Linked DNA regions of Canis lupus familiaris. The protein of the gene in region 1 purifies or fractionates together with the protein of each later gene. This does not show direct contact. Links are inferred from orthologs where the notes say so. Each region holds a gene or a part of one and is shown in the gene's direction. Other genes may lie near its edges. The genes, in order: COPS7A, DCAF11 and COPS8.

What was found.
Region 2: the proteins of COPS7A (region 1) and DCAF11 purify together in Homo sapiens (affinity purification with mass spectrometry; 3 studies listed by BioGRID and IntAct, counting the BioPlex papers as one, with this or other methods). This does not show direct contact. The link is inferred for Canis lupus familiaris from reciprocal best matches to the Homo sapiens genes COPS7A and DCAF11.
Region 3: the proteins of COPS7A (region 1) and COPS8 purify together in Homo sapiens (affinity purification with mass spectrometry; 11 studies listed by BioGRID and IntAct, counting the BioPlex papers as one, with this or other methods). This does not show direct contact. The link is inferred for Canis lupus familiaris from reciprocal best matches to the Homo sapiens genes COPS7A and COPS8.

Annotation. Positions count from the first base shown.
Region 1 is NC_049248.1:7,781,040-7,784,786, forward strand, and holds the start of COPS7A (COP9 signalosome complex subunit 7a), read left to right. Parts: upstream 1-1,065; 5' UTR 1,066-1,224; exon of another isoform or gene 1,225-1,337; intron 1,338-1,707; 5' UTR 1,708-1,750; coding exon 1,751-1,912; intron 1,913-3,580; coding exon 3,581-3,656; intron 3,657-3,747.
Region 2 is NC_049229.1:4,239,452-4,243,198, forward strand, and holds the start of DCAF11 (DDB1- and CUL4-associated factor 11), read left to right. Parts: upstream 1-1,385; 5' UTR 1,386-1,548; intron 1,549-1,655; exon of another isoform or gene 1,656-1,928; intron 1,929-1,947; exon of another isoform or gene 1,948-2,281; intron 2,282-2,397; 5' UTR 2,398-2,617; coding exon 2,618-2,772; intron 2,773-3,678; coding exon 3,679-3,747. UniProt on the Homo sapiens protein: May function as a substrate receptor for CUL4-DDB1 E3 ubiquitin-protein ligase complex.
Region 3 is NC_049246.1:48,075,092-48,078,838, forward strand, and holds the end of COPS8 (COP9 signalosome complex subunit 8), read left to right. Parts: intron 1-723; coding exon 724-786; intron 787-1,817; coding exon 1,818-1,865; intron 1,866-2,575; coding exon 2,576-2,655; 3' UTR 2,656-3,627; downstream 3,628-3,747. UniProt on the Homo sapiens protein: Component of the COP9 signalosome complex (CSN), a complex involved in various cellular and developmental processes.

The DNA of each region.
Region 1 (3,747 bases):
TTATTTATTCATAGAGACACAGAGATAGAGGCAGAGACACAGGCAGAGGGAGAAGCAGGCTCCATGCAGGGAGCCGGATGTGGGACTCAATTCCGGGACTCTAGGATCACGCCCTGAGCCAAAGGCAGACGCTCAACCACTGAGCCACCCAGGCATCCCGAAATCTCTAAATTTTTATGAGCATCAATTTCCTTATCTATAAAGTTAAAGTAATAACAGATACCTTCCTTACACCTAGGGGTTTTTCGTCTCGCAGGAATGAAAAGACTCGATGCGCACGAAAGCCTCACTCTACAAGTACTCCCGGAGTCACACTGGGGATGCAGTATAGTTACGAGGATTCAACGGGATGCAATTTTAAAAGATGCCTCACCAATAGTAAGCAATGTTACTACAATGTCAGTGTTACCTATTATTACTTCCTGTACTTTTCCCACTACTTTCCTCTTGCTCCTCAAAAAAAAAGGAGTGGTTAAAATAGCCAGGGAGGGGGATCCCTGGGTGGCGCAGCGGTTTAGCGCCTGCCTTTGGCCCAGGGCGCGATCCTGGAGACCCAGGATCGAATCCCACGTCGGGCTCCCGGTGCATGGAGCTTGCTTCTCCCTCTGCCTGTGTCTCTGCCTCCCTCTTTCTCTCTGTGTGACTATCATAAATAAATAAAAAATTTTTAAAAAAAATAAAAATAAAAAAAAAAATAAAATAGCCAGGGGATCCCTGCTGCGAAACTTCTACTATTCTTGTCTTCTTCCTGTCTCTCATTTCCCTCCCTCCCTTTTTTCCTTCTCCAGGCCGCTCTTTCTCATTACAGCTTTCCTGCCGCCTCCAGCGCCCTGTGCAGCCCGATCTCCAGGTTTCAAGCAGCTTTGAACAGACACTTAACCACCCGGTACCTGCTGCAGACAAGGGGCTCCCTTCGCATTTACCATCTAGCGCTCGTCGGACAATAAAGTTTTATTGAAACAAAGCAGGAAAAAAAAAAGACGCCGTCCTTCTTCCTCAACAGCCAATCAGAGAGTAGAATGACTGGCGCTCGCCGGAGCTTCAGCCGTCGGAAGGCGGGGGAGGGGCCTGGCCTCGCCAGAGCGGAAGTACGAGCCGGAAGCCCGCCATAGAGTGTAGTGGCCAGAGCGACTCTGCGGGGAGGTGGCAGGAAAGGCTTGGAACAGCTGCCGGAGGTGACGGAGTGGCTGCCCCGCCCGGTGTGCTGGAAGACGAAGCTTCCAGGTAGCGGCCCGCAGAGTCTGACCCAGGGTACGACGGGGCAGTCGGCGTGAGCCCGCGGTCCCTGGGCGGCCTCTTTAAGGGAGGGGGCGGAGCCACGTGGAAGGATCGTGAGGGTGAGGTCACGTGGTTGGGGGTACTTGTGCGGCACCGTGGAAATTTGAGGGAGCGTTGTTGTTAGGGTGGACGCCATGTGACACCCCTTCCCCCACCGCATCCTATGCCTTGGGGTTCAGTGGGGTGCACGTGGTGGGCCTTGGGATCAGGCCCAGGGATGGGGGAGGGGGCCTGGCAACTCTGTCTCAGCCAGGCGTCCGTCAAAGTGGCCGGTTTTCGGATTTCTAGAACCGAGTTTTAGACAGCCCCATCTCTCGTTCTTCATTTGTAGATGTGACTCAGTGCCTCTGCAGTCCAGCCCCTGGCCCCTGTGCTTCCCGCCCTCCCAGGGTTCAGGGACTTCCAGCTTCACATTCTCTCTCCTTGCAGCTCCAGATATCCTGAGCCCAGGCCCTCCCAGCTCAGTGCAGCCATGAGTGCCGAGGTGAAGGTGACAGGGCAGAACCAGGAGCAATTTCTGCTCTTGGCCAAGTCGGCCAAGGGGGCAGCGCTGGCCACACTCATCCACCAGGTGCTGGAGGCTCCTGGTGTCTACGTGTTTGGGGAACTGCTGGATATGCCTAATGTTAGAGAGGTGGGTTCCTGGCCTAGAAGGCACACATGGAAGCTTGGGACTAAGTCTGAATTTGAGAATGGGTGGGCAGGGCTCATTTGCAACCGCATAACCATTCGGTTGAACAGGAATATGGTGATGATTAATTAGCAGCTGGCAAAATAAGTAGGCAAGTAAACCTCTCACTTTCCTTTGCTGATGAATCATCTGTAAAACCCACTGTTTTTCATTTTTAAGCCAAAGAGTGATTCAGAAAAGGAGACCTAATTCCATCCTGTCTCCTCCAATGTAGTACCTCTTAGTAAGATCATGTTGCCTTGATCAGGTCACTTTTACTTTAAGACCTCCGTTTAAAATTGAAACTGATACTGCCCCTCAGTGTCAATTATAGGAATCAGGTCAGATTATGGGAAGTGTAGAATCTGGTACAATTGGGAGGAATGAACATGAAATTGGCAGCCCCTCCTCTCCTCACTTTGTACCCTTTGTTCATTCACTTAAGTTAGATAAGTGCCTAGAAGTGTTAGAAGGTGGCTTTCTCCCCGAGACATGTGGCAAGATGCTAGGGACACAGCAGAGAGAACTGTTCACATAGAGTTAAGAGTTTAAAGTCTAGGGGGTGCTGGATCACCAAGATGTGTGACATCAGCTCAAGTCCTGAGGTGCTATGGCATTGATATGCAGGCAAACTGTGTTAGCTTTTTGAGAGCCAGTAATTGATGGAGTCAATGGATTTAGCCTTCAGGAGTCACTGGTATATGGAGAAAACTCTGGCTGCCTTCTTTCCCTACGCTTTCTTCTACAGTGGAACTAAAGAGGGTCCGTTAAGGTGAAAAAAACAAGCATTTGTTGAGTGCTTGTTTATCTCTGCGGGTCATCTGGGAATACCAGAAAAGTGTAAGACACAGTGCTTATTATCCTCCTAAAACTTATATTCCAGTTGCAGAGATAAGATGAATGGATATGGCCATGTAAATTACTCATTTAGCAAGTATTTTCTGAGAGCCAAATAGCTCTGCAGACCTGAATAGCTCTGCAGACCTAACTGGGTGGGATACCAGGGCCTGGAGCTGTTATCATATTGGAAAGAAAGATATTCTTCGGTAACAGCCTAAGGGTTTGATCGATTAAGTGCCAGAATGAGTGATCAGTGATTGGAGAGGAGATCTGAGTGGGCTGGCCTGGATGATGAAAGCCTCCTGGGTGCTGCAGGTCTGACGTAGAGGCCATGCAGCTCTCAGAGATGCATGAGGGTAACGCAGGAGTGTTTGGTGAATTGGGAGGTACGGCAGACTGCCTACTCAGATTCAGAAATATTAAACATGCTCTAAGGACCAAAATGCAGTTTACAATGTCTGAGTGCGTGTGTGTGTGTGTACATGCATGTGCGCTCACTACCAAACACTCTGAATGTGCTCAGTTCTGAATTTGGGGTAAGAATGAAGACGTACGGAGAAAGAGGGCATGGTGGATTGGGGGGAGTAGTGTAGACAAGGGCCTGGAGGTGGCAATGAGGCCTTCGTATAGGGAGAGCCATCAGAGAGGCAGAGAAGTCCGGGGGGGGTTGGGGGCTGGGAGAGCTGATGGGAGAAGGGAGAGATGGGGCCAGAAAGTGGAATTGAAAACAGAATGAGGCTAGGGAACTGGAGAGACGCCTGTCCTGTCACCTCTTCCTTTGTATTTTTGCAGCTAGCTGAGAGTGATTTCGCTTCCACATTCCGGCTACTCACTGTGTTCGCCTATGGGACATATGCTGATTACTTAGGTAACCAGAGGGTTAGAGCTCTGGAGTAGTGGTGGGAGAAGGGCAGTTTCTGGAAGGACTTCAAAGAAATTCCTGGGAAACCCTCCTGGGG
Region 2 (3,747 bases), on another chromosome or scaffold:
CAATTTCCCATGGCATACAAGTTTTTGTGAGGTGTGTGTGTTTTAATGATTTCAGATTTTCCAGTCCGGATAACCCAGAAACCACAGAATCCTAAGGCCTCAGTAAATGTCACAGGGAAACTAATAGTAAGTTACCTGACAATGAGAGGTGGGTAACGGGCAGAACCGACTACATACATAACCCGTAGAGCCCAGAGCAAGATGAAAATGCGGAGTGCTTGTTCAAAAATTAAGAATTTGGTGGGATCCCTGGGTGGCGCAGCGGTTTAGCGCCTGCCTGCCTTTGGCCCAGGGCGCACGCCGGGCTCCCTGCATGGAGCCTGCTTCTCCCTCTGCCTGTGTCTCTGCCTCTCTCTCTCTCTCTCTGTGTGACTATCATAAGTAAATTTTTTAAAAATAAAAAAAAAAATTAAGAATTTGGGACACCTGGTGGCTCTGGGGTTAAGCGTCTGCCCTGGGCTCAGGGCGTGATCTTGGGGTCTCTGATCGAGTCCCACATCGGGCTCCCTGCATGGAGCCTGCTTCTCCCTCTGCCTGTGTCTCTGCCTCTTTGCCTCTCTCTCATGAGTAAATAAAATCTTAAAAAAAAAAAAAAAACTTTTTAAATTAAGAATAAGACGGCGATAGCAGGACATTAAACCAAGCACGGGGCCCTTGGAAGCGTAGAGCCCAGTACCGATCGCACGCCCATATGTGGCCGCTCTAGTGATCAGAGATGATAAGCTCGGCTCTACCTGTCTGGAGGCCAAGAAGCGCCCGGGTCTGACCACACCCTCGCCCTCCTAGGGACACTGAGAGGCAGGGGGGCCCAGGGGCAGCTAAGAGCCCTCGCACCCATCCCTGAGCTCGGGGAGGCCCTAGGTGAGCTCGCAACACTTCCCAGAGAATGCGGACTGCCGTGCAGCTAGGAACCAGGGCCTTTGCACTCGGCGCCGCGAGGTCACTCGACCTCCTGCCTGGGAGAGGATCCCGAGACGTGGCACGTCCGGGCCTTGGGCTCAGTGGGTTACTCATCAACCCAGAGGAGGGGAAGGAGGCGGCTCTCAGGCACTCCCCGGACTAGGCGCCCGGGCCGGGAGGCCAGCCGAAGACCGACGATCTAGGGAAGGTCTGCAAATCCCGGAGAGCCGAGGAGAGTCTGAGGGAAACAGACTGAACCGGAAAGGCCCCTAGAGACCCTGGCTAGTATTAGGGAGCGTCTGCAAAGACCGCGGAGAAAAGCCAGGGATCGTCTAAAAAGTGGCCAAAGCAGCTAAGGGCTGGTCTAGAAAGGGCGGTCCCCACAAAACAAGGCTCCCGGATCCCGGAAGAGAGGGTATGGAGGCCCGGATCTCCCTCTGTGACGTAAGCACACCCCAAAGGCACTGGCCACCCCTTAGAGCAAAGCCGAATGAAGCTGCAGCCAACAAAAAAAAGGAAGGCTGAAGCCGGGGTGGGGGCGGCGAGTGAGGAGAAAGGGAGGCCCTGAGAGATCGCCTGGAAATTGTGAAGCCAAAAGAACGTCAGGGGCCGACAGCAAATTGTATCTTTCGCTAAAGACACCTCCAGGTAGCGAAGCACCGACTTCTTAAGCCCCGCCCGTCACCCGTTAAGCGTAGTTCCGCCGTCTCTCAGGAAGCAGCCGTTCCCCACTTACTCCTCCCAACCCCGAGCGACCGCCCTCCTCGGTGGCGCGCTCTCCTCCCCCCCCGCAGCGCTCGCCCACTTTCTCCCGCCCATCCAGCAGTCGCCGCGCTCCGCCGTCCAGTTAGCGGGCCAAGGGGGCGGGGCCGACAGGGGCGACGCGTGACGTGTGCAGCCGCCGGCCGGGCAGCCGGGAGATGCGTGACGAAGGAGGCGCGTGACGGAGAGCGGTTGGCCGGGCTGCGGCCTCAGTCGGTGTAAACAAGGCCTCGAGCCGCTGCGGGTCCTGCGACCGCTCCTGGCTGGTGGGTGGTCTCGCGCGGGGCAGGAACCCGGCTCCAGTGGGAGGGGCTTCTCGGCTTCCTCCCTGCCTCCCCCACTTGGCGTACACACCCCCGGCACACCACGTGGGCGTGAGGCGAGAAAGGAGGGGGTGTTAAGTCGAATTCGAACCTTATTGGTTGTCGATGCTGCCGGCTTTTGCAACGGAGCGCTCTGATTGGTTCCTAAGGGGGGCGTCGGGGGGTCTCAGAGCCCTAAGGCTTTTGATTGGTTAGATAAGATAAGCTAATGAGGCGCTTTCTTCCGCGAGGGGTTTTGATTGGTCGGCCAAAGAGGTTACCTGGGAATTCACCCACCCCTCCAGGGACTTTGATAGGTGAGTTTGAGGTAGAAAACTGAGAAATTCCTCTTCAAAGGATTCTCATTGGTGAGCTAGGGTAGCGCCCTAGGCTTCACTCTCTGATTTTTTTTTTTTTTTTTTTTGCTTCACAGAATTGGGGGTTTGTGTTCCTGAAGCCTTGGGAGTTGTCACAGGCTACAGAGAATCTGTCCTACAGATTTCAATCCCTAGGAAGGGTCGCCCTCCTAGAGATACCTACCGTTCTATCTCGGGAGAACCCTGGTGTTTCTAGAGCAGGCTTTGCTTTCACCGAACCTAAGGAGGTGACAGGAGGAGTCCCTGCACAGGACCTAATGATGCTGTGATCAGAAGATGGGATCACGGAACAGCAGCAGTGCAGGAACTGGGTCCGGAGACCCCTCCGAGGGCTTGCCCCGAAGAGGTGCTAGCCTGCGTCGGAGCGAGGAAGAGGAAGAGGAGGATGAAGATGTGGATCTGGCCCAGGTACTGGCCTATCTCCTCCGCAGGTAACTTACCCTCTGATGTGTCCCCACCAGGGATCACCACAGTCCCTTGATCCCAACTCCAGGCAGGGAGGTTACAAAGAATAGGAAGTGAGATTAGCCCAGACCAGCTGTTCTGTTTGAGCTTCCCTTCTGGACACTCAGGCACTGAGCTCAACACCCAATAAGAGTTGTTTTTAATTAGGGAGGGTCATGAAGACGACTTGCTTTTGTGTTTGAGGGGACTGTTGGGGAGCCTCTCTAGCTAAGACTACACAAATGGAATCCATTTTCCAAGTAAGTGAAAAATAAAATAAAAACCTTGCTATGATAGAAAAGGAGTGACGTGAAGGGTAAAGAGAAGAGCTGGGGAGGTGGGTGTTGAACTTTCGAGAAGTTGCTGACATGTGATATGAGGCCATGTGGATTTACTTGAAAAACAAGTTTAAATTAACCTAACTCTTACCCTGTTCTTGAGGAAAGAATGCTTTGAGGAAAGTGACCACCACCAGTAATTGACTGGAAAGGTGTGCCACTGGCTCCATTTCTTAGCTGTGGCTCCTTGGGGAAGAAGACAAGCTCGGGGATCCCTTCAGAATACTGTGTTCTGTGATGGACTCCTCAGGCAGAGGCTCAGAAGGAAATGCTCTCAGAATTTTTAGCTCCTTAGGAAGTCAACTTAGTAGGTGTGTCAACTTCCATGGAATGTTGGGGTTCTCTACTCCTGCTGTAAGCACGAAGATTCATTTCCTACTGTATCTTATAGGAGACTGAAAGTAACAGCCAAGGTCTGGTCAACCTCAAACTACAACATGGGAACAGTACGAGGGTTTGAGTAGCAGGTGATCTAAGAGCTGAGTAGCCATTGACTCTGAATTTGGTTGGTTTGGGGAACAGATCCTCCCTTTTATCATGGGCATCTCTCCACAGAGGCCAAGTGAGGCTGGTGCAGGGAGGAGGTGCAGCAAATTTACAACTCATCCAGGCCCTCTCGGACTC
Region 3 (3,747 bases), on another chromosome or scaffold:
ATAAAAGGCAGGTTAATGAAGTTCCTGGAGTAAATCATACTGTTGCTTATAAACATTTGTTTTGATTCATCTTGAAATTGATCTGTAGTTTATTACATACTAATAACATACCCCTGAGCCCTACTCTTAACTGACTGCCTGGGTCCGAGTCCTGTACCCTCCTCCCAACCCCATACTAACTGCGTGACCCAGGACACGTCATAGGATTCTCCAAAATTCATTTTTCACATCAGTTTAGTGATGGTTCTGAGTCCTACTTCATAGAGTTGTGTGGTGATGACCTGATATGATTGCTGTGGGACGGTGCCTACTGGCCAAGACTCGGTTTTGTCATTGGCATCAGCTTTGTTACTACTGATAGAGCAACTGGAGGCAGTGTCATGTACATCCTCCTTAGAGATGGAAGTGTTGTTTCCGGTATATTGACTAGATTAATACCGTATTGCACACTATGGAAGACTGGTCATTTGCTAGGGATTGTATCAGCCTGATAGAGTAAAACGAGACTTTGATACACATTTCAGAAATGTTTCAAAAGTAAGTCCATCTGAGAATGCTATCTATATAATCAACTTTCCTAGTAAAAATACACATTGTAGGGTAACCTGGACTTGTCAGATCCTCCATACAAGTAGTGCCATTGACAGATTGTGGATCTTGTAAATGAAAATTATAGTAACTTTTGGTTATTGCTTCATTTGTGTGTTAAATACATATCTCTAGGTATATTGGAACAAGGATGGCAAGCCGACTCTACCACAAGAATGGTTATGCCCAAAAAGCCAGGTAGGTGGAGCTCTCCATCCATATATGCACCATGGACCTCTTCTAAGACTACTTCAGTCTTTTAGACATTGAATTTGAGTAATTTGGTAATAAGGTTCTGCTGTGCTAGCAAATTGAAAGTAACTCAGTTAAGTATAGACCTGGAATGATAGACGCAGCAGAAAGGATTTTAAAAAAGATCACCTAGTTTTACCTTGATTTCTAAAAAAAAAATTTTTTTTTTTTTTTTTAAGAACCGGGTTTCCAGGATCACACCCTGGGCTGAAGGCGGTGCTAAACCACTGAGCCACCCAGGGATCCCCCAATTTTTTTTTTTTTTTTGTATAAGAAACTATATGGGTTTCTCAGAATCCATATTACAACTTAATTCTTACTAAGCATTAGTCTCCCGTCCACTTACTTATGGGACCATTTCTAAGTGTGTTTATCCATATCTAAGTCATTGTCTTTTTAAAAAAATATCTTCTTTTTCTCCTTGTACTATAGCCGTGTAGACTCTTCTCTGAAACAAGATTTCCAGTGGCTTTAACTTTCACAGAATTAAGTTCTTTGGCCTTTTAAGGCTTAAATTATTTGGCCTGAGCTTGTTGTCTCCATCTGAATTCCCAGCCCCTCAGTCCTCCTGAAGTGAGCCGTGCTCATTCCTGCGTGGAGGTCTCTCCTCCCTTGGCAGGAGTGCCCTTTTATGCCGGGTCTTTGGAACTGGGCTTAATGCCATCCATACACCCTCTCCCTCAACCAGAGTTCCTTCCACCTGCTCCGTGTTCCTATCATGTAGACAGTGTTGACCCCTCAGCAAGGAATTCCTCAGATTTCAGTGGGCTCTGCCCTGGGAAGTTTCAAGAGGTGGTGAGACCCGGTCCCAGCGGGTCTCACTGCTGTAATGAGAAGACCCGCGTAATCATATAGAGCATAACTGTTAACCGTTTGAGAAGTAAATGGTAGTAAATGCCATTACATTACAAATGACATGTTCTGTGTGAAAGCTCTTCACAGTGACTCATATAAACTGGGCTGTTCATTGTCCTTAGTTGCAGGGGCCCTGGATGTGTCCTTTAACAGGTTTATTCCCTTATCAGGTACGTTATGTTTATATATTCATTTAAAACATTTCATTGTTCTTTTTTTTTTTGTCATGTGTCTCTGTTTTCCTTAGCTCCCACATTGTAAATGAAGAGATGAAATTCTGTATTTGCTGTTTATAATGATATATTTGGTTATAATAGAGAACGTGTGGGCTCCCCTCTGTAGTTCACCTTGAGGCCAGGGCATCTTCTGGCCCAGTCACGGAGCCTCCGTGGTGTCATGGGGGGAAGCCGTGATGGGGCTTCTCACCAGCACTTCCTCGGAAGGCATCCCTGGGCTGACATGTGCTAAATTAAAAGTTGAAACTAAATTCCTTGATAGGGTCTTTGTGGGTTTTTTTGTTTTGTTTTGTTCACTGACAATTTAATGTCCTCCTAGAGCACTGCATGGCACGGTAAGCACTGGGTGATTGGTTATTCACTGAATATCATGTCAGGTGGGTATATGTCCTTCCAGGAAGAGCTGTGCTCTCTCAAGAGAGGTGTTGCTTGTTAACCTGGAAACTTCAACAAAGCTGGACATGCCTTTGCTCCCCGTTGAGAAAAACTCATCAAAGTTGAAACTTTGCTTGTTTTTCAGAATGTCCAAAATCAATAAGAAAGTTTCTTTATTGATAAATGACAGGCCTGGAAGGGTGTGGGTGGCAGGGCCCAGGTGCTGTCACATGGGGTCTAACTTTAGTCTCTTTCTGTTTCACTTGCAGAGCCTGCCCCAGTGCCCCCAATCCCCAATGAGCAGCAGTTAGCCAGACTGACCGATTATGTGGCTTTTCTCGAAAACTGATGTATCATTCTGAGTCCAAGATCCACCTTCAGAATCCTGTATACTGACAGATATAGAAATGTAAAATTTTTATTTTCAATTTATTGGATGGATGAAGCACCTCAGCATTCCTTACTGAGTATGTGATAAAATACATATATAAAGTATATTATTATATATTTTGTCCTTAAACATTATGCTGAATAGTTGTTGAAACAATTCTCATTTTGTAATATTTGACAATTTGGATGGAGCCTGTCAGTATTATGCAGTTTAATTTCCTAGTGACTGACTGATAAAACAGCTCTCCTGCTTTATGTAGGTCAGTGGTTGACAGCTGTTTGCCCCTGCCCCAGCGTACAGCACACCCCATCGGCACTGATGGTTGATAGTTGCAGTGATTCCTTTGGGGTTTGAGGAGGACTGTCCCTGGAGACAGTCTCTGAGCTGCCAGGGATTCTGATGCACCCCCTTCAGAGAATATGCTCTCTTTCTCCTCACCTCCTGAATATCACTCTTACAGAATGCTGAAGTGTAGCTGAGGAACAGAAGACCACTTCCTCAGTGAACCAGTTTGTTAACTTTGATTTTTTCCTGATGGTGTGAGTACATCCATTGCTGGCAGTGGAGGGCTTGCCATGAAAATGCAACTATTTAAGACCTTCAGGAGAAATATTAGATGTAATACTCCTTTCAGAAGAAGGGAATATTAGGGTGGAACGCATTATATTGGCAAGGAAGCTATTAAGATAAGTGATCCACTTTGTACAACTGTCTTGCAGCCTACTGGTTGCTTATTTTTATCCTTTGGTTCAAGTTCTGCCTTTTGGAGAAATACCGAACAAGTCTTGCAGTTTTTGTGTGATGCCCTCTGAATATTTGGAGGTGTTGATTGTATCTTCAGGTTAAAAGCCCCCCTGCTTCATTTATTCTGCATTTGTTCAATAAATATTTAATTGAATCAGCTGTTTCATCTGAGATAGTTTCTAGAAATTTCACTCTCCTGGTGTTTCTGTGGATACATTCTAGTTTGCCATTTTTTCAATATACAAATGTCCTACTTGAGTAGAAATGACATATATAGTGGTGATTGTATGATTCCGATTTTTGTTC